Linked DNA regions of Notamacropus eugenii. The protein of the gene in region 1 purifies or fractionates together with the protein of each later gene. This does not show direct contact. Links are inferred from orthologs where the notes say so. Each region holds a gene or a part of one and is shown in the gene's direction. Other genes may lie near its edges. The genes, in order: EXOC6B and EXOC3.

Region 1 (10,363 bases):
CTACCTCACCTCTAATCAGCCTCTCTTCCTAACAAATTTCCTTGTTTTTTTGAAGGTCACCAGCATCCTTCCATTCACCTCCTCTTGTAACATCAGTGATATCCTCAACTGCTCACTCTCACTCCCCCCCCCCATATAGTCTATTGTCAAATTTTATTGTTTTTTCCTCCACAGAATCTCTCCTGCATGTCCCATCTCTCCACTCAAATAGCCTATATCTTAATTCAGAAGCTTGCCATCTCTTATTTGGACTATTGTAACAGCTTTTTAAAAAAACAAATTCAATTCAATTCAATTTAAAATCTTTTTATTCTGAACTCAATGAACACCAAACAAAAAAAGCCCTTTTGTATACATAATAGAACAGAAAAGAGGAATGTACATGAAACTAGGAAACTCTATTATGAACAGCTTGCTTTTTTTTTTTTTTAAAGATTCAATAAATTCAACATTGTACTAACATTCTAATCGGTTTCCCTGCCTCAAATCCTGCCCTATTCCAGTCTACCCTCCACATTTCCAGAATGATTTTCTAAAGCACAACACTTACTACATTAACTGTCTACTCAACTCCAGTGACACCCTATTGGCTCCCACATCAAACTTGATTCTTGGTTGGCATTTAAAGTCCTTCACAGCCTGATCCAAACCTATCTTTAGTCCCCTTTACACATGCTGTAGTCCTGCCAAACTGACCCTGCTGTTTTGACACATGACAGATAGGGCACTGGGCCAGAGTCAGGAAGACCTGAATTTGAATCTTGCTGCAAACACTTCCTAGCTGTGTAACTATACAAGTCACTTTGCCTGTCAACCTCGATTTCCTCCTCTCTGAAATGGAAATGAATAGCACTTTGCTCCCAGGGGTATGTGAGGATCAAATGAGACGATATCTGTAAAGTGCTTGCCACAGGACCCGGCCAATAGTAGAATCTTAATCAAGGCTAGTTTCTTTCCTTCCTATGTCTACTCCTTTCTACATATTGCTCCCAGTGTCAGGATTGTGCTTCTTCATTTACACCTGTTGGAACCCATGGTTTTCACTGTGGCCACTTAAGGGGCTTTCCTTTGACTCTTTTAGTAGCTTGGGGACATTAGCAGAACACTCCAGTGGCCTGTCCGTCATCTCCTGTTCTTGTTCCATGACCAAGTCCAGCAGAAAGAATACTGGCTCTTGGTTCAGGGGACCTGGGTTCAAGTCCTAACTCTGATGCTTATTGGTCATTTGACCTTGGGCAAGATGCTTAAAGAGAGGGCTGGCCTTGCTGGTCTTTTCGTTCTAGAGCTAGGAACTTCTTTTGTGCCACAAATTCTCATTGATGACACACCCCATCACTGGACTTGCACTTTAAACCAAAGGCCTAGTGAACATCAGATCTAGGAGGATTTGAAAAAAGTCTTGGCAATTCCACTTCCTGCCCCAGAACTCCACCTTGGACTTACTCCAGGATCTGAAAGAAGCAGCTCCACCTCTCCCAGAGTCCCTTCTGAGTGTACCTTTTATCGGGTGTGATAAATTTGCCAAGCCCATCCCTGTAAATGCAGAACTCTTGGCTCTGGGTCATGGGTTGCCTATAAATATGAGCCTGTGAAAGATCTCATGGCATCTTCAGGGAGGAGAGAGAGCCTGAGATGCCTTGGATTCAGGGAATAGAATTTAAGGGAACAGGAAAAGGTAATAATGCTGAGAGGAGATAAGGCAGTTCATTTCCCCTTGTGCATAGGCCTGGATTTCTGAAAGCCATCTGAAAAGAGAAGAGGGCAACAAGATGCTTTAATAGTATCTCTCTCTCTCTCTCTCTCGCTCTCTGTCTCTTAAAAACAGGGACTCCCAAAAGGACTAAATACTTCATGGGAAGCATGGGAAAATGGGCCAAATCTTTGTTCTTGGCACCATGTTCCTGCCCATGCCCTCTGAGTGCATGCATGTATATGTATGTGTGTATGTGTGTAGTATATATGAGTGTGTGGTGTGTGTATCTGTGAATGAGTGGTATATAAGAGTATGTTATGCGTAAAAAGTTTGAAAGTGTGTGTACTTCTGTGTGTGTAACTGAATGATGTGTGTGTGTGTGTGAGTGAGTGGGATATGTGTGAGAATGGTTGGTATGTGTATTTGGTATGTGTGAGTAGTGTGGATGTGTTTAAGTGTATGTTTGTAAGTGGGGTATCTGTGAGAGTGGCTGGTGTGTGTATTCGGTATGTATGAGTAGAGTGTATGTGTATATGAGTGTGGTATATGTATATGTGTGAATGAGTGAATAGTATATATGCAAGTGTGTTGTGTGTAAAAAGTTTGAAGGTGTGTATGTATGTGAATGAATGTTACGTGTATGTGAGAGAGGTATGTTTGAAAGCGGTTGGTGTGTGTATTTGATATGTATGAGTAATGTGGGTGTGGGTATGTATGTGTGTGTGTATGAGTGTGTGTGTATGTAGCTCAGATGCTCTGTGGGGAAGACCAGGGTTGAACCTTAGGGACCTTGTCCTGCAGAAGTCTGGGATGATGTCAGCCTGCTGCTCAGGGACTTAGCTGAGCTCAGGCTCCTGGGGGAGCTCAGGGTGGAGAGCATGGTGTTGTCACCACCTGGAGGAGTACAGTGAACTTAGACTCAGAGGAAAAGGCAGTCCCTGAGGACGTGGGGGTGACAAACACAGCCAAAACATTCTGTGGCCAAGAGATGCCCTGGGAGAAGGCTTGCTATATCAGTCAAGTTCAAATGAGAAAATATTTGTAAAGGGCTTAGCACAGTTCCTGGCATATGGTAAGCACTTAATAAATCCTTGTTCTCTTCTCTCCCCCCCACCCCCAAACCATTATCCAGTTAGTATTGGACTCTCTGTACTTGAACCTGATGGGAGAAATACAACTCCAGCCCTTAGGAAATGCTCAGCCTTCTGGGGGTATTACAGACCCTGCCCTCAGGGAGGCTCTAATCTGAATGGGAAGACAAGACACATCTTTACACATGAGATACCCTATAAAACACTAAGCAGAGTTGTAGTCCATTTCATGTCCTGCTAGCATGTGAGTTCCTCAAGGACAAGAGCTGTTTCTGGTCATCTTCACACCCCCGAATGAGCACACAGTAGACATTCAGTATCTGGTTAGTTGTTTGAATGAGTAGCAGGAGTGTCAATGGTGTGGCAGTGGTGGGCTTCTCCATGGGTTGGATCCCTGGAGCAATGGAAGGATGGTGGTGCTCTCAGCAAAAAAGGAGAGGTTTGGAGAAGACGTGGGGAAGTCACTCAGTTACATTTTGGACATGCTGAGTTTGAGATGCTGTTGGGTCATCCAGGAATAGTTCATGATGGACACTGGAATTTAGGAGAGAGATGAGGGCCAGACGCATCCACCTGTAGGGATCTGCAGAGAGATAATAATTGAACACATGGGAACTGATGAGTTAACTAAGAGAGTAGAGAGAGAAAAAATACAGTTGGGTGGTTGGGGACGGACAATGACCTAGCAAAGGAGACTCAGAAGGCCCAGCTGGACAGGTAGGGGTAGAACCAAGAGAACTCAGACTAGAAGAGGAAGAGATGGACAATGTTTCAAAAGCTAAAGACAAGAGGTAAAGCAGAACGAGACACCAAAAAAAGCCAATGAAACCAAGCATGAGAAGAGTATTAGTAATTTTGGAAAGAACAGCTTAGGAAGATTGAGGTCAGAAGCCAGATTGAAAGGGATATAAAAAGGAAGTGAAGAAATGGAGGTAACTAGTGGAGATGACTCTGTCTAGATATTTGAAAGTGAAAGGGAAATTACCTTGCATTTACTTATTTGTATATGTCTTGTACTTTCCAAGTGGGCTGTAAGCTCCTGGAGGACTGGGCTTGTCTTTGAATTCTGTCTGGCACATGGATTGACTGAACACGTGAAGAGATCCAGGAAAATACCTTACAAGGATTTGTTTAGGAGTGGAAGAAGTCTGGACATGTGTGTAGTTAGGAGAGGGCATACAGTGAATACATTTTAAATTTCAGCTCCCTCCTACTTAAATCACTTGAACTAGGCTCCTGGGTCCCTGGGTTCTGATAGTCAGCTTTTGCTTTTATTTTACCTTGCCCTGAACGAAGCCTCCATTTAAATTCCTGGACACTTTTTTTTTGGAGGCAATTTGGGTTAAGTGACTTACCCAGTGTTATATGGCTTATAAGTGCTCGAGGTTACGTTTGAACTCAGGTCCTGCTGATTCCAAGGCAAGTACTAGCTGCTCCATCCTGGGTATTTTCAAAGCATTCCCAGCTCTCTTTTGTGTGTTGTCTGCTTCTATCAGAATGTGAACTCCTTGAGATCCAGGACAATCTTGATTGTTGCTAATTGTATTCCCAGCACTTAGCAGAATGCTTGGTATATAGCAAGTGCTTAATATTTATTTCATTGTCCATCCATCCATCCATCCATCCATCCATCCATCCATCCATCCATCCATCCATCCATAAAGAGAAGGAATGACAGAGGGAACAGCCTCTCAGAGGAGACAGAAAGGGATAGGATCAAGAAGACAAGCAAATGAGTTGACCTTTGTAGAGAGAAAGACCATACCTTTCTCAGAGACTGGAGTAAAAGATAGGGTTGGGGGAATAGTGGAGAGGGGTACAGTTGGAGAGGAAGGGTCCTGCTCATTTAGGATGGCCTCAGTTTTCTCCGTGAAGTAGGAGGAGAGGTCCTCTGCTGAGAGAAAGGAGGGCATGGCATAGGAGGTTTGAGGAGAGAAGACATCTGGCGTAGACCTTGTGGGAAGTGTGAGAATCATTCAGGGATGAGTAAAATAACGTCTACACAGCAGGGAGGGTCAAGTTGGGGGGTACCATGTTTATACTGTATCTCCAAGTATCACTTTGTGGATATTGACTAGAGGAGTTGGATGGTGCCTAAGATAAGACTGTAACTGCAAGTGAAGGACTAGAGCTGTCCAAGGTGGAACCGGCCAGTGTTCCCAGACCTAGGGACTTGCCCACGGTCACGCAATCTCTATGTGTCCGAGACAGGGCTGCAACAAGTATAATCCTCATTGTACGGATGACCAGATGGCTGGATAGAAAGGAGTGGGAGGGGTGAGGCGGCCAGGTAACGACCGGCTGCGTGACCTCGGCAGCCTCAGTTTCCTCATCTGTAAAAGTCCCTTTTCGCTTTCTATGGTGGCATGACATCATGACCTTATTGGACAAGCTCAGTCACGCCCACTTCATCGGTCAGTCAGTCAACAAGCGCTTACGGAGGTCCTACTCTGTGCCCGGCCCTGGTCTAGGCGCCAGGGAGACAAAGAGAAGCCGACGTCCGCCTCTTGCCCTCAGGGAGCTGCCAGTCTCCATTGGAGGGCAATGCGAAGAGCGCTGAGCTTGGCGCCCAAGGATCTGGGCGCTGCCTCCTTTCCTCCCTCTGGGCCTCAGCTTCCCGCTCTGTTAGGGTGGCGGCGGATGCCCTTGAGGTCCAGCCAGTTCCTTGGAGCAGGGCAGGGAGGGCGAGGACTACATCTCCCGGCAGGCCGCGCGCGCGGCCTCGCACGGCGCGGGGCGGGGCCTGGGCGCGCTGACGCTGGGGGGCGTGCCCGGGGGCGGGGTCGTTGCTGGGCGGCCGGGGCGGCTGCGGAGGGGCCGGCGAGGCTGCGAGGCTGCGGGCGGCTCCGAGCGCGGCGGCAGGCGCGGGGAGGCCGGGGCGGGGCGGGGCAGGGCGGCCGCCCGGCCCATGGAGCGGGGGAAGATGGCGGAGGCGGAGAGCCTGGAGACGGCGGCGGAGCACGAGCGGATCCTGCGGGAGATCGAGAGCACGGACACGGCCTGCATCGGGCCCACGCTCAGGTAGCGAGCCGGGCCGGAGCGAACCGGGGCCGGGGGCGCCCCGCCCCCCCGAGGCCGGGACCCCGCGGGGAGGGGGCGACCGTGCCGGGAGAGGGGAACCCCGCCCTGGCCGGCACCCCCCCAGCGTTGGGAGGGCTCCCCGAGGGAACACCCTTCCCCAGGGGAGCCCCCGGAGAGAGACGCCCCCGAAGGCAGGACCCCCAGCGAGCGAGACACCCCACAGGGTGGGACCCTCACCCCGTCCGACCCCCTGCGAGGGCACACTTCTCCAAGAGGGAGCCCCTTCCCAGGGTGACCCCTGCCCTCCGCCCCAGCCCCTCCCCAGGGAGCTCTCCCGTCCCTTTCTGTCTGCACAAGAGCAAGCCTCTGCCCCCTGCCCTCTCCCTCCTTCCCCTAGGGTCGAGCCCCCCGTTCAGGAGCGAGAGCCCTCAGAAGGGCCAGACAAGCCCTACCCAAGAGGGAGTGCTTCTGCCCCCATACCCACCCTCCTCATACTCTCTCCCCTTGACTGCCCCTAGTCCCATCCACATTCCTCCTTCAAAGAAGGGGCTGCCCCTGCCCACCCCTCCCTGCAGGCACCTCTCTTCCTTCACCTTATAGCCTGAACCTTACACATCCTTTTCAGTCAGACTTTGCCCCCTCTCCCTAGGAACCAGTCTCTCCTTCTTGTGAGACCCTCCTTCTTGTCCAAGACAGGCAGACACTGTACCTTTCCCCCTTCCAGATTTTCCCCCTCCCCTCCAAGCATTCTTCTCATTTGGTCAGGACCCTCCCCAGTGACACCCTCCATTTCAGCACCTCCCTCTTCCACAGGCAAACCCCCCCTTCAACACCCCCCCCCCCCCAGTGAAGTTTTCACAGGCATCCCCAAGACAGCTCCTTCCCCAGGATCTAGTTCTAAAACTCCTGAGAAGCTTCTTGTCTTCCTTCCCTTCAGCTACACCCACAGCTATAGGAGATGGTCTCTCTTGGGGAAGACTGACTTTCCACTGGACCCCGCCCCCCCCCCCCCCCCCATCCTTTGCCCTTTTGAAGAGTCAGTCCCTTCCTCAATCCCCAAGCCCTTCCAGCCTTCTCTCATCATAGTCCAATTCCTCTGGAGAGTCAGGTTTCCTCACTAGCTATGTACCTCTGCTTAGACCCTCCAGGCCCTTCCCTAAGAAAAACTTCAGCTCCTTGGGAGTCTGGCTCTCCCAGCAGGGAGATCTCCATCTCCAATCAGGGTCTCCCAGGAGGGGAGAGAAACCTTCCCCACCAACAGACTCCTGGCCTCTGGTTCCTATGGAGAGTCCCCCTCTTCCATTCAGGAGGGTCAGCGCCTCTCCATATACATTTTTCCCAGACAAATAGGCCACTCAACCCCTTCTTCAGGATGACCTCCTCCCAGCACCGACTTAGCCCCCTTGAGTAAGACTTTACAGGGTCAGATTCCATTCCCTTAGGAGGGATGCCCTTCTTCCACCACCTAGCCTCTTTGGAAAGTAAGGAAGGCCTCCTGAGGATGAGCCAGCCCCTTTCCTCTTCCAGGCAAGCTGCTCTGGACAGTTAGACCCTTGTCTCCTCAGCTAGGCTCCCCTTACCATATTCAGAGGTGATTCCTCCCCTCCCCTCTTGAGAATCAAACTTCCTCTGGATTGAGACTCCCTCCCCCAAGCCCCAGCCCCCATCTTCTCCAGGAGACAAACATGCCAGTCCCTTAGGAAAGTCAAGGCAGCTCTAACCCTGGGAGTGGGATTAGTACCCATGTATCAGCCTCCCGAATGAATTCAGCCCTTCAAAATCCCAGCTCCTCCAAACAGACGACCTGCTTCTCCCTCCCTAGGAGACTTTCTCTTTCCTACCTACTACTTAGTTCATTCCTCGAGTGAGGGCCAGTCAAACTCTAGCCTAAGGCTAAGGCCTCTCTCCCTCTTCCCTCACATTAAACACCAAGCCTCATGCCTAGCATTTATATAGTGATCTGAACTTTGTAAATAGATTTGCATAATATCTTTTGATCCAATAACCCCTTGAGATAGGGGCTTTTATTGTCCCCATTGTACAGATGAGGAAACTGAAGCTTGTGACTTGTCCAGGATCATAGAGTTAGGGGATCTGATGAAGGATAGGAAGTGAGGCCTTCCTGACTGAGCCTAGCACTCTGTCTCCTGTGTCACCCAGAGCCTCACCCACTTACCTTAATTCCCTTTGTCTCCTTTCACCCCTCAGTTTAGGGCATGAGCCTCTTTTTTTGGTGATACTTCTTTTTTCTTCGTAAAGAACTAACCCAAATCCCCAGCCTTTACAATTCCGATCTCTATCCCCAACCTTCCTCAGTCTGGAGCTATTTAATGTTTCTTCTTAATTCAGTAATTCCATAAAGAGTTTGATCATGGAACCTTTCAGCCCAGAAATAAATTAACCTGCCTGTGTCACCTGGTGCCCTGGGAGGGGGTGGAATTAAAAAATGTGCCTGACTAGGGGAATTTGGAAGCAAAAGGGGAGATTCAGTCTCCTTCCCTGCTGGACGCAATCTCCTATAACAGACCTTTCTGACCCCTGATTTCATGCCTCTCTTCTGGAGGGAAGAAAATCCAGCAGGCGTCAAAAACTGGAGTCCAGGCCCTGGGAACTGTTGCTCCGAGTGACCCTGCCTATGCCACCACCCCCATTGGCCCCCCAGCCAGGCTTTCCATGAGCCTGTGACTGTGTATGGGGGCTGCCCACTGGGCTTCCTTCCCTGAATTGTAGCGCTGCTCAACCAGGAGCTGTTTCAGCTCAGCAGTCAGCCTGCTGCCTCTACACAAGCACGATTAGTTTCTGCCCTGAGCACCTGTAAGTTGTTCCTCTTTCTCCTTAAGGTCGTTGTCATTCATTTCTCATTTTTCTCTCCTATTGGCCTTATTAGCAGGCCTCCTCCCCCCACCCCCTGCTTTCTTTCTCCCCTTCTCTCTGTTGTCCCTGATGGCAGACCCATTTGTCCTTGCCCAAACAGGGGCAGCAGGTGCTGACTCTTTTGTGTGGTAGCCAGTGTGTGCCAGCTTCCTTCCCCAGTGGCATCCTCATCTGTGCTCTCCCAGTCACAGGCAGGCCTCCTCTGCCTTGTGCCAGGCCCTCAGGGGCAACCCCATCACTCAACTCTCCAGCTTCTTTCCCACCTCAGTAAACAGGAACAATCCAGAGACATCCAGTTCTTCCTGCCCTCCTGTCCTATGGCAACATTGGTGCAAGTGACCTCTTCCTTTCTGTCCTTGGTCTCTGTCTCCTCTAGACAGGTACGAAAGATCTTCATGGTCTCTCCTTAAGCCTTTGATGTCACTGTCTGAGGTCCTAGGCTGTTCTGCCGGGGAACACCCCCCCTCCCCCCATGATTCTGGCAAAGGTTTGTTGGATATGGCCTGTACTTCTTGTGCCTTCAATCCAGCCCTGGGACATGGGGGTAGCAGTTACCTTGTTGGAGCTCTGCACAGGTGATCCTGGGCAGGGAACATCACACCTGTGGCCTCAGTTTCTTTTACTTTCAATATGGAAGTAGGATTGATAATCCTTAAGTTTCCTTCTTGGACATGCTGCTAGAGACAGCTGGTGGCACAGTGGACAGAGCGCCGGGTCTGGAGTCAGGAAAGACCTCAGTGTGAATCTGGCCTCAGATGCTGCCTGGCTGTGTGGCGCTGGGCAAATCCTTTAGCCTCTGTTTGCTTCAGTTTCCTCATCTGTAAAATGGGGATGATAGTAGCACCCGAGGATCAGGGTTGTTGTGAGTCTCCAATGAGAGCATGTTTATAAGGAGCTTTACTAAGTACCTGTCGCAGAGTAGCAGGCACTTAATAAGAGCTTGTTTCCTTTCTTTAGGAAGCATTGCTCTCTTTCCCCTCACCCCTCACCTCTGAGGGGCCTCCTCAGGAGGGATACCCTCCAGCCTTGACCTTACATAGAAGATTGCAACCCTCTTCCTCTAGTCAGGCCTTTCTGGAGGCAAGCTGTCCCTGTCTCCATGGCCCCGCCCCTTCCCCAGCTTCCAGGAAGCTTGGCTTAGCAGAGTGGCCAGCCCACAGTAGGCACTTCATAAATGCTTGTGGTCTTCTAGCTCTGATCCATCCCACCAGTAATCTTGGTGGTAGCCTATAGATCCACTTGGCAATATTCATGTGCTCCCTGTTTCCTGGTTTGGGGGTTGGCTTCCTTCCATCCTGAAGGAGGAGGAGTTGCTGGGAAAATCCTTGTGCCAAGGACAGCGCTCTCCCTCCATGGGCCTTTCTTCACAATCTTGGTGTCTCACTTTGACCACATATGATCAGTTAGCAAACCTTGTGGTTGCTAAGGCTCCACAACATCCTTTAGATCTGTCATCCTTTTTCCGCCCACACAGCCACTACCTTAGTGCAGGCCTGGATCATCTCTGCCCTGGATGACTCCAGCGGTCTTTCCCCATTGGCCCCCCTATCTCATCTCTCCTTCCTGCAGGCCATCCCTGCGTAGCTACAGAAAGGATTTTCCTCCATTGTAGATCTGGCTGTGCCACTCTCGAGCAGGCCAGGGACTTCCCATTATGTTTGTCTGCAGCCAGATACGCACATTT
Region 2 (9,767 bases), on another chromosome or scaffold:
CAGGAGGTGATCAGTGAATTCTTTCAATATCCATTTTGCCCTCTGATTCTATAACATCAGGGCAGTTTTCCTTGATAATTTCATGGAAGATAATGTCTAGGCTCTTTTTTGATCATGGCTTTCAGGCAGTCCAATAATTTTTAAATTATTTCTCCTGGATCTATTTTCCAGGTCAGTTGTTTTTCCAGTGAGTTGTTTCACATTATCTTCTATTTTTTTCAAATTTTTGGTTTTGTTTACCAACTGCTTGGTTTAGCTCATAGTCATGCGTTTCCCTAAACTCAATTCTCTCTTTCAACGAATTATTTTGTTCAGTGAGCTTTTGAACCTTCTCCTCCATTTGGGTAATTCTGCTTTTTAAAACCTCCTTCTCCTCGTTGGCTTTTTGGACCTCTTTTTCCAATTGAGTTAGCCTCTTTTTAAAGCTGTTATTTTCCTCAGCATTTTTTTGATTCTCCTTTAGTAAGCTGCTAAGTTGTTTTTTAAGGTCTTCTCTTGCCTGAGCCCAGTTTAAGTTCAACTTTGGAGGCAGAGGCCTTGACTTCCTGTGACAGTATGCCTTGTTCTTCGTCATCTGAAAGGATAGGGAGAGACACCTGTTCCCCAAGAAAGTAACTTTCTATGGTCTTATTTTTTTTTTTTTTCCTTTTTTAGGCGTTTTTCCAACCAGTTACTTGACTTGTGAGTTTCCTCTCCACAACTTCCTGGCCTCCGGCTCTGCCAAGCCAGCACTTAGGGGCTGAGATTCAAATGAGCTGCTCCCAAGCCTCAGGGCTTTAGGTGGGGGCAGGGCTGCTATTCAGTGTGAGATTAAAGTCAGCTGTTCAGGTGGGGGCAGGGCTGCCACCCAGGGCTCAGTTCCCTCAGGGGCTTTCTGATGAGACCTTCAACAATGGATGGGGCCTACTGCCTGCTTTGGGGCTGCCTTCTGCTGCTGCCTCTACTGCTGCCTCCTGAGGAGACCTGAGTTATGGGGACACCCCGATTGTCTCTCAGCCAGCCTAAAGGACCCTCCCACTGACCTTTGGCACATGTGGGTTGAGGGATCTGTGCTGCCTGGAGATTCTGTCCCTGAAGCCTGCTGGGATCTGCTTCCTTTGGTGCCACCTCATGTTATGACTTTCTTAAGTGTAACTTTTATTTAATCTTTGTAGTCAAAATTTACTTGTGATAACACATCTCAAACTTTACAATGTAAGTCACTGGGGAAATGATTTAATTTATGCTTTATGACAGATTTTTCAGGAAAGCATCTATTCCGTTAAGTAGTTTCATCAATGCATATCTATGTTGGATCAACTATTTCATTATTATTCAGTGTACATGGAAATATCAGTAGACTCAAAAGTCTTACTTAGCCTTCAGATTTTGTTTTTTCCTTCATTTCAAAACTGTAATTTTTATAAGTTGAAAGCATAGAGGTAGAAAGCTAGAAACTTCCAGGGTTCACAGGAAATCTAATGTAGAATTTTTATAAAATGCCAATTCCACAAACCGGTTTAGGGAACTATTTTTTTTTTTTATGTATTGCTGGTCTCCATAGCAAGATTCCTAGATTCCTGATCAACCAAATAGGGAACTCCACCAGTTTATCTGCTACCATCAAAACACCTGTGCAGCTCTAGCTTTGCTAAGAATTGTATTCGAATTTGATGTCCACCCTTAGAATAGATAAGTGTTTATTGTAGTTAGGAAGACAATTACATTTCCATAGTATGCTTCTTTTTTGTAGCCCCCTATTTTTTGGAAAAGGCTGCTGTTTATTCTTAATTTCTATTAAATTAAATGAGAACCACTTCTCATTGTTGGCTTTCAGAGTAAATATTTTGTAAATGGAGTAAATGTGAAAAGGCTTCATATTTTACCAGTGACGATTGAAGCTTGTTTTTTTTTTGGGGGGAGTATGTGAAAGAAAAAAAATGTGATAAAACTAAAAATAACCCCAAATCACATATTATGGAAGTTTGCAGTCTTTGTTTTAATATTTTACCCATAATACCTCACCTGGAACAGAGACAGGAAGATAGGAAAATTTCCTGTTATGGTGCTTGCTTTATGATGGCAAAAATTACTCTCAGCTCTCAACTGTCTTTCTAATATTCACGTCCTGAACTGCTCAGTTCAGCAATAGCAGCCTGACAAAATTTCAGAAGAAAGGAACAGAAGGCAAGAGTCTAGAAATCAGATGCACTACTGGACCTTGCCTATATCCTGATATCAAAAGACATCACCAACTTGTGAACTCTGGGTTAACAGCTACTTGAGTGCCTCATCTTCATAGCAGCACTATCCCTATGGGATACAAGACTGTACTTGTTCAGTCGTTTTCAGTCATGTCCAACTCTTCATGAGCCCTTTGGGGTCTTCTTGGCAAAGATACTGGAGCGGTTTGCCATTTCCTTCTCCAGCTCATTTCACTAATGAGGAACTGAGGCAAACAGAGTTAAGTGATTTGCCTGGGGTCACACAGCTAATAAGTGTCTGAGGCCAGATTTGAACTCAGGAAAAGTCTTCCTGATTCCAAGCCCATTCACTGCATTAAGACCACACTTAATAATGCAATATAGAAGCACTCCCTCTCCCAAATAAAAAGGAAATAAAAAGCCCACAAACCCAAAACAAAAACCCTAACTTGATCTTATGCTAAGTTAGGAGAGGCATGATGTCCACAGCATTGAAAGTAAAGCTCAGCATCCCAATATTGAGCCCATCTCCCATGTCTACATACACACGTCCATCTACAGTCTTAAAAATGACCATTTACTTAACTTGAAGTCGACCTTCCATATGGTACAGAACTCGTATACCTCTTTGTTTTTCATATTTGAACGTTTTCCCTGGTTTCCGTTTTTAAGATAAATGGAGCAGGTAAGTGATGAATGGGACAGAAATAGTATGAAGAGATTTATATAGTTTAAGAATATATAATATTGCCACTGTCATGAATATTTTGATATCTAATAGAAGTAACAAAAGAACTTTTAAAAAATATGTACACTGCAAGTGCGTGTGAAGAAAAAATTTTCAGATGGTATCTGGAAAGTCAAAGATAGACCTTTTTTGTGAATGAGATGGAATGTCAGACTCATTTGAGAATACTTTAATATTACAGAGTTAGAAAAGTTTTTTTTTATTAGATAAATCTGGCTTCAATGAAGCAGTTTCAAGAACATTAAAGAGATTGATGTTAAAGGCTTCAGATTGCCAGAGCATTATAGTAATTGACTAATTGGCCTGTTTCAGAACTAAAGAACAAACAACGGGTAATCACATAAACATTTGGAGACAGGTCTGATTTTTAGAAGGATGATCAATTTGACAGGGGAGATTTGGGGAGCTGTGCTTCACCCTGCTGGCCTCAGTTTGCTCATCTGTGAAATGAGCTGGAAAAGGAAATGACAAACCAGCCCAGCATCTTTGCCAATGGGATCACCAAGAGTCAGCCGTTACAGAGAAACAACTCAACGCAACAGCTCCTTTTGAAAGGAGAAGAGAGTAGCTTTGAGTCAGGGGACTATTACTGGACTCATCGTGAAGGACCTGGAGAGAACGCGGGTTGTAAAGAATCTGGCAAAGGAACGTCAGTTGAACGGAGGCACGTGGGGGCATCAGCCCGCAAATTTCATTGAGTGGCTCCTGATTGGCTGGACAGACTCGTGCTCATTGGCCCAGAGCGCCGGCGAGAGCCCATTGCCCTTCAGCACCACCTGGCGGTGGACAGAGGGGAAGCTCCTCTTCAGCGTTTGTGGCTCCGCTTTCTGCTCTGGCTTCAGAAGGCAAAGCAGAAGGGAGGGGACCGACCCGCAGCCGCTTTGGTGCCCAGGTGAGCGGTCTTCAAGAACCCAGCGGAGCCACCTTCTGATGGTACAGCAACAGCCTCTAGGCGAATGTGTGTCAGTCTCAAAGACACCCAGTTTGAGGGGCTTCGCAGTACTCACGTTAATCAATAGTCAATCAACATGGTGATGGTGAGCTGGAGTCAGCTCTTAAAGGCTTGAGAGAGCTGACTGTCCAGACTTTAAAGAGATGAAAAACACTTAAAAGCTACGTTTTAGAAGTGTATGCTGTATGTATATGTACATGCACGCATATATCTCAAAGTATTACTACATTATATTGGTGTCATGTATGTGCATATACATATACTATACACTCATATTATACACACATATATACATGCAGAAGAGAACTCTGTCTGACCACGGGGTAATTAAGAAGCCGGGGGCAACCCTGATCCCAGAGCAGGAAGAGAAGGCTGGTAGCCATATGTACCAGAGGGGGGAGTGCGAGGGGGAGGGGCAGGCGGACAAGTGGGAAGGGGGTGCCCAAAGAGCCACGGCAGCAGAGGTTTTGGGGGCCCGAAGGGGACTCTTGGGACCACCGGGTCCTTGGCCGTAAGTCGCTGTCCTTTCGCTCTCTAGACGTTTGGAAGGGGGAGATCACTTCTGAAAACCCTCTGCCAGTGGGGGATGGGTGAGGGTGAGAACGCTGACCCCCCAGCGTGAGGCAGGGAGCCTTTCGCCGATTCTGTAGAGAACCGCCCCAGACCGGCAGGGCCGAGGGGCATGTCCCAAGCTGCATGGCCAGGCTTAGCTCGGCCCCTGCCTTCTGCTGATAGTTTGTCCCCACCTGCGGGCTCCTTCCAAGGAGGGGTCAGGAGGCCTCGGTGAGGGCGGGGGCTGCCCCAGTGGAGAGAGTCCAGAGCCCAGGCCAGAGCGCACTGGGCCGAGGGGAAGCGGGGCCGACTGCCGCCCGGGTTACTCGTCTCTAGGGCTCGCTGTCAAGCGACCCCATCCTCTCCCTTTAGGAGCCGACAGGCTACGGTAGCCCGTCGCCCCGGCAACCATCAGCTGTCCGTCTGGCAGCCCGCTCGCTCCCGCGGACCGGAAGAACGCCCGGGAGCGCGTCACCAAGCGTGGAGTGCCCACTTCCGGTCTGAGGTGATCCCGGAAGCGAACATCTTCGGCGGTCGGAGAGGGGGGCTGAAACCCCCAGATCGTGACGGCGGCTGTTTGGCCAGGCTTGGGGGTGTGGCGAGGCGCTCGCCTTGGAGCCTCTCGAGGGCCGAACCTCGGTGTCCGGTGCCTCCGACGGGCGAGTATCGGCCACTCAGCCCCGCCCCGAAGCAGGTACTGCCCGGCGGGAGGCGCTGAGCGATCGGCCGGGGCCGGGGCGGGGGCCGGGGGTCAGAGGACGGGTGAGGCAGCTGCAGGGGGCTCGGAGCCTGAGACTCGTCCGTGGGGTCCGGAGCCCTCGGGGTGTTCGGGCCGCCAGCCGCTTGTCTCCGAGTTAGCCGCCCAGGTCAGCCAGGCAGGCGGACCGAGCGGGGCCCCGGGCTGGATCCGAAGCGGGAGCTCGGGCCGGGCCCCGCCCACCCCCGGCCTCCTCCTCCTCCTCCTCCTCCTCCTCCTCCCCCTCCTGCTCGGGGTGCGGGGGATCGGGGTGCGGGGGCCCGGGGTGCGGGGGATCGGGGTGCGGGGCCCGGGGTGCGGGGGGTCGGGGTGCGGGGCCCGGGGTGCGGGGGGTCGGGGTGCGGGGCCCGGGGGCGTCCTGCGGGTGGGGCTCCTAGAGGGCCTCAGGGACCCCCCGTGGTTTCGGCCTGAGTAGGATCCGACTCCTGGCAGCTGCTCTCCGGGACCACGCGGATTCGGGAAATCTGGGGCAAGTCATTTAGCAGCCGGGCAGGGACTGGCCGTGTGCTCTCAGGCCCGTTTCAGCCCCAGACACGGATTTCACTGTCTTTGGGCTATCTCTCCACTTCAGGCTTTCGGTTAGTCTAGGCAGGTCATATCCTGGGGTGTGGGTCACTTCCCCAAGGGGCTTACCAAACCAAGCAAACACGAGAATGATTTCTCTGAAGTCCCACCTTGTCCACGAGGCTGCTTCTGGCCACCGCTGCTAGTGCCTTGCCTTTGAGGTTCCCTGCCACTTACAGGGCGTCTGTCTTGTATATACAGTTTTTTGCACATCTTCTCCCCGATCAGAGAGGGAGCTTCTTGAGGACGTGTGTTTGCCCCTCTTTGTATCCCTCCCATCCCAATTCCGGGCTCTTTCCTTAATAAACGGGTACTAACTGACAGGACTCGGAGTCCTAAGTGACAGTCACTTAATGGCTCCATAAATCGTAAGACCTGGTTAAAAAGGGCCCTAGGTTGGAAATGCTGGAGAGCTGGGTTGTAGTCTAACCCCTGGAGGGATCTGACCTTGGTGGGTAAACTGGATATTCTCTAAGGTATATTCCAGTTCTATTATTTTGTGATTCTGTAGCTGTGACTTGGAATCATAGAGCTGGAAGATCATATAGCAGTCCCCTCCTTTTCCAGATAAACTTAGGCCCTGAAAAGTTAAATTTCTCCAATGTCACACACAGCCAGTAAATGGCAAAACCGGGATTTTAAGCCGAGTTGTCTAATTCCCAATCCAACTGGTTATTATTGAAAGGTGGCAAATTACTGCTGACTTCTTTTCAAAGCAAGTCTTAAATATAAGGGAAAAGACATTTCTGTATTCTGATTTAATGAGTAGGGGGTCATTCTCCATTTGTTCTTCCCCTTCTCAGATGTCCACCTAAAATATAATTGAAATTACATAATTAGAGATTAATTTTCTTACCTTAGAATTTTGTGCCAAATTAGTATGCAAAAAAGTCTGGGTGAAGTAGTATATTAGGTTTTAATCAATCAATTGCGGCAAAGCATCAAAGTGTTTCTTGTCATTTCCTTTTCTAAGAGCTCTATCCACTCCATGAAGCTGTCCCTTGTATAAAATATTGCCTTCCCCACTAGTGAGATTGTATGTATCAGTGTTTAAATGACCCTACTTGTTATCAGAGCTTACATTAGTTTTCCATGGAAAGGATCCCACAAATCTGAAATGACAAACTTCCTCAAATCCTGATGGATAATGGATAAATCCTAATGGCCAGCCCTACGCAAAAACAAAAAGTAAGGGAAGCTTGTCTTTGCCATCCCAATCTCATTTTTATCTACCCATTACCTGTTTATGTTTTGATACTAGCAACCCTCACATTTCTTCTACTTCTTATCAAAACTTACTCTCAGAAAAGAAATGAGGAGAAATACTTGAAACTTTGCCAAAAATGACTGATTGAAACATATTCTCCCATTCTTTTTTGCATTTTGATTTTGATAAAAATTCTTAAGGAAATCTTTAATTTTGGAATTGAAACTGGTGGATGACTGAGAAGGAGGAGGAGAATAAATGGAGAATATTCCCAGCGTCCATTAAGTCAGAGCATATAAATGTCTTTTCTCATATCTAAGATCTGTTTTGAAAGGGCAGCAGTGACAATTTGCCATCTTCCAATAATAACCAGTTGGATAGCAGATTATATATTTTGACTCAATAAATGCAGTATATATCTCTACAAAATATATCTCTACAGCTCTGCTCTTGAATTCTCTCAAAACTCCTGACCTTTTCTGTTCCTAAGATTTATCAGTAGTGAATTTAATATATAGTCCTGAAAAATACTGGCAATTTATTACTGATTAACCGGGAACTTCTGAACTACTTTAAAAAATAATTTGATTTGAGGTAGAGATCATATAGTTCCCAGAAGGATGCACCAGACCTGTTACAATATCTGATTTTCTTTCAATACCATGTTTCATAAAAGTGGGGAAGAATTCAAGGTGAGTTTTTCCCTCTTTTACTAAATTTTTCTGCACTCTTTTCATTACATATCACAGGTCCAGATGAGGGGAGGTAGTGTTTAAAAGAAACCTGGGAAGATGGAAGAAGTTCTGGGAAATTTAGACAAAATGTGGCTGTGAAATGATGTGGGCAGAGAGGGTGGGTGAATAGGGAAGTCTGATCCCTGAAGTAGATCATAGATCTATAAGAGACGGAGAACTAGCCTTAAAGAGTACATTCCTTTTTTACTTCTTTTTAGTTGCTTTGGGGGAGGGAGGGTTGAAAAATACTGAAAGATCTTTCCAAGAGTCTTAGTGAGAAATGAGAACTGAAAAATTGGTTCTTCAAGGGTAGGGAACTACCTGGAGATGGCCATTTTGGTGCCGTAGTTTGTATCCATTTAGGAAGAAAACTCATCTGTGAATTATAATTACATTATCATGAATGAATAAAGAAACCTTTATTAAGTGCCTGTGCTTACTATGTGTAAAGCACTTACTACAAATAAAAAAGATCGTCGTGTTCGTCCTTCATTGCCGAAGACGACCATGCCATCAGAGAAATGACGACATGATTTGCACTTGACTTTGTTTTGTGTGAAGGAGGGGTGTGCAGGTCACCAGCCTCTCTTCTCCTCCAGAGCCATCTGAATCCAATGACCAGATAGTCATCAGGATGACTGGAGATGGCCAAGTAAGACAGTCTTTGCCCTCAAGGAGCTCACATTCATTTTAATGAGGGAGACAACCACATGAAAGGGTTCAGCTGAAAGGCAGATAGGAATGTCCCATTGTCCATAGCAGATAGTAATGCGTCTTTTTTGATGTTATTGCCACCAATAAAATCATGTCACTTTCTGATATTGAACCTTCTTTGGTACTTTGGTTCCAAGAACTTTCCTTTTTTGGGGTCTCCAATACCTGACAATGTTGCATCTGCAGAAACAGTTGCCAGGCTCATCTCTGTAGGCATAGCTTCTGGAAGCATTACTGTTCCAAAGGTACTTGGCTTTAAGGTCCTGAACTATTTGTATGAAGGTCAGAGGTAAGCTGGTGGTGAAGATGATGGTAGTGGTTGTACTTGCTTGGCACGTGTTACAAGCTGCCTTGCTGCTTCAACTGTGTTAGCTTGTCTGCTCTGTGTGTGGCATTTGGTGGAGATGGTCAGCTTGTTTTCCAGAGGAGTTGCTACTCTAGCCAATGGCAGTAAGGAGTAGGTAGGCTAGAATCAGGAGAAGTGGTCTGGGAGTTATTGCCACTTCCAAGGCGCCCTGTGCTAAGCAGTCTTTTGGTGGCAGTTGATTAGCAGTGTTGCTGCTGGAGATGAGGAAGGTAGATCCCTTCTCTACAATAATTTCTCCCTTCAGTGATGGCTAGGGGGACTAGAAGCAATTCATTTGATTTGGATGGCATTGATATTCCTAAAGCTTTGGGACTTAAGTCAGGATAATGGCTATAGGCACTGGACTGGAAACGTTGCTATTCCAAAGACTCAGTAGTCCAGGGGAGATGATAATCAGAATGGTGGTGGTGGTTTGATTTGCCTAGCATGTGCTACTTCTCCCTCAGAATGCCTCTGAGTAGTTTGTGGAGACTTTGTTCTTATATTGGCTCCTGGCTTCCCTTCAAAATCAGGCCTGCAAAATTCTGCTCTCTTTCTCTGGTTAAATATTGCTAAAAAGCAGTTCTCATATTTGAATCATGGTATTTTAGAGCCAGAAGTGATCTGAGACATCATTGAGTCCAACTTTTTATAGATGAGGAACCTGAAAACCAGAGGGATTAAAATTGAGGTCATAAGGTTTGGGTCTCAAAGGCCAGAAATACAAGGATTTGGATATCTTTTTAAAAACTGGAAACCTACTTTTAGTGATTTTATGCACAAGATCTTGGAAGTTATAGTATGTCAAGCAGTCACAGCTTCATGGAACTTACATGAAAACTAGCTTTATTACAAGAGAAATGAACATGTATATGGAACCCAAAGAGTTCACAATTGATACAGAAGTTTGCATATTTATAACAGTAGGACAAAAGAAGGAGAAGAAAACACAAATCGCAGCATAAAGGACTGTGACCTGAGAGGGGGAAAGGTGCAGTAAAGGTGGGAAA

The links.
Region 2: the proteins of EXOC6B (region 1) and EXOC3 purify together in Homo sapiens (affinity purification with mass spectrometry; 3 studies listed by BioGRID and IntAct, counting the BioPlex papers as one, with this or other methods). This does not show direct contact. The link is inferred for Notamacropus eugenii from reciprocal best matches to the Homo sapiens genes EXOC6B and EXOC3.

Annotation. Positions count from the first base shown.
Region 1 is NC_092872.1:738,936,391-738,946,753, reverse strand, and holds the start of EXOC6B (exocyst complex component 6B), read left to right. Parts: upstream 1-5,654; 5' UTR 5,655-5,692; coding exon 5,693-5,805; intron 5,806-10,363. UniProt on the Homo sapiens protein: Component of the exocyst complex involved in the docking of exocytic vesicles with fusion sites on the plasma membrane.
Region 2 is NC_092875.1:343,302,048-343,311,814, forward strand, and holds the start of EXOC3 (exocyst complex component 3), read left to right. Parts: upstream 1-4,997; 5' UTR 4,998-5,129; intron 5,130-5,640; exon of another isoform or gene 5,641-5,770; intron 5,771-9,767. UniProt on the Homo sapiens protein: Component of the exocyst complex involved in the docking of exocytic vesicles with fusion sites on the plasma membrane.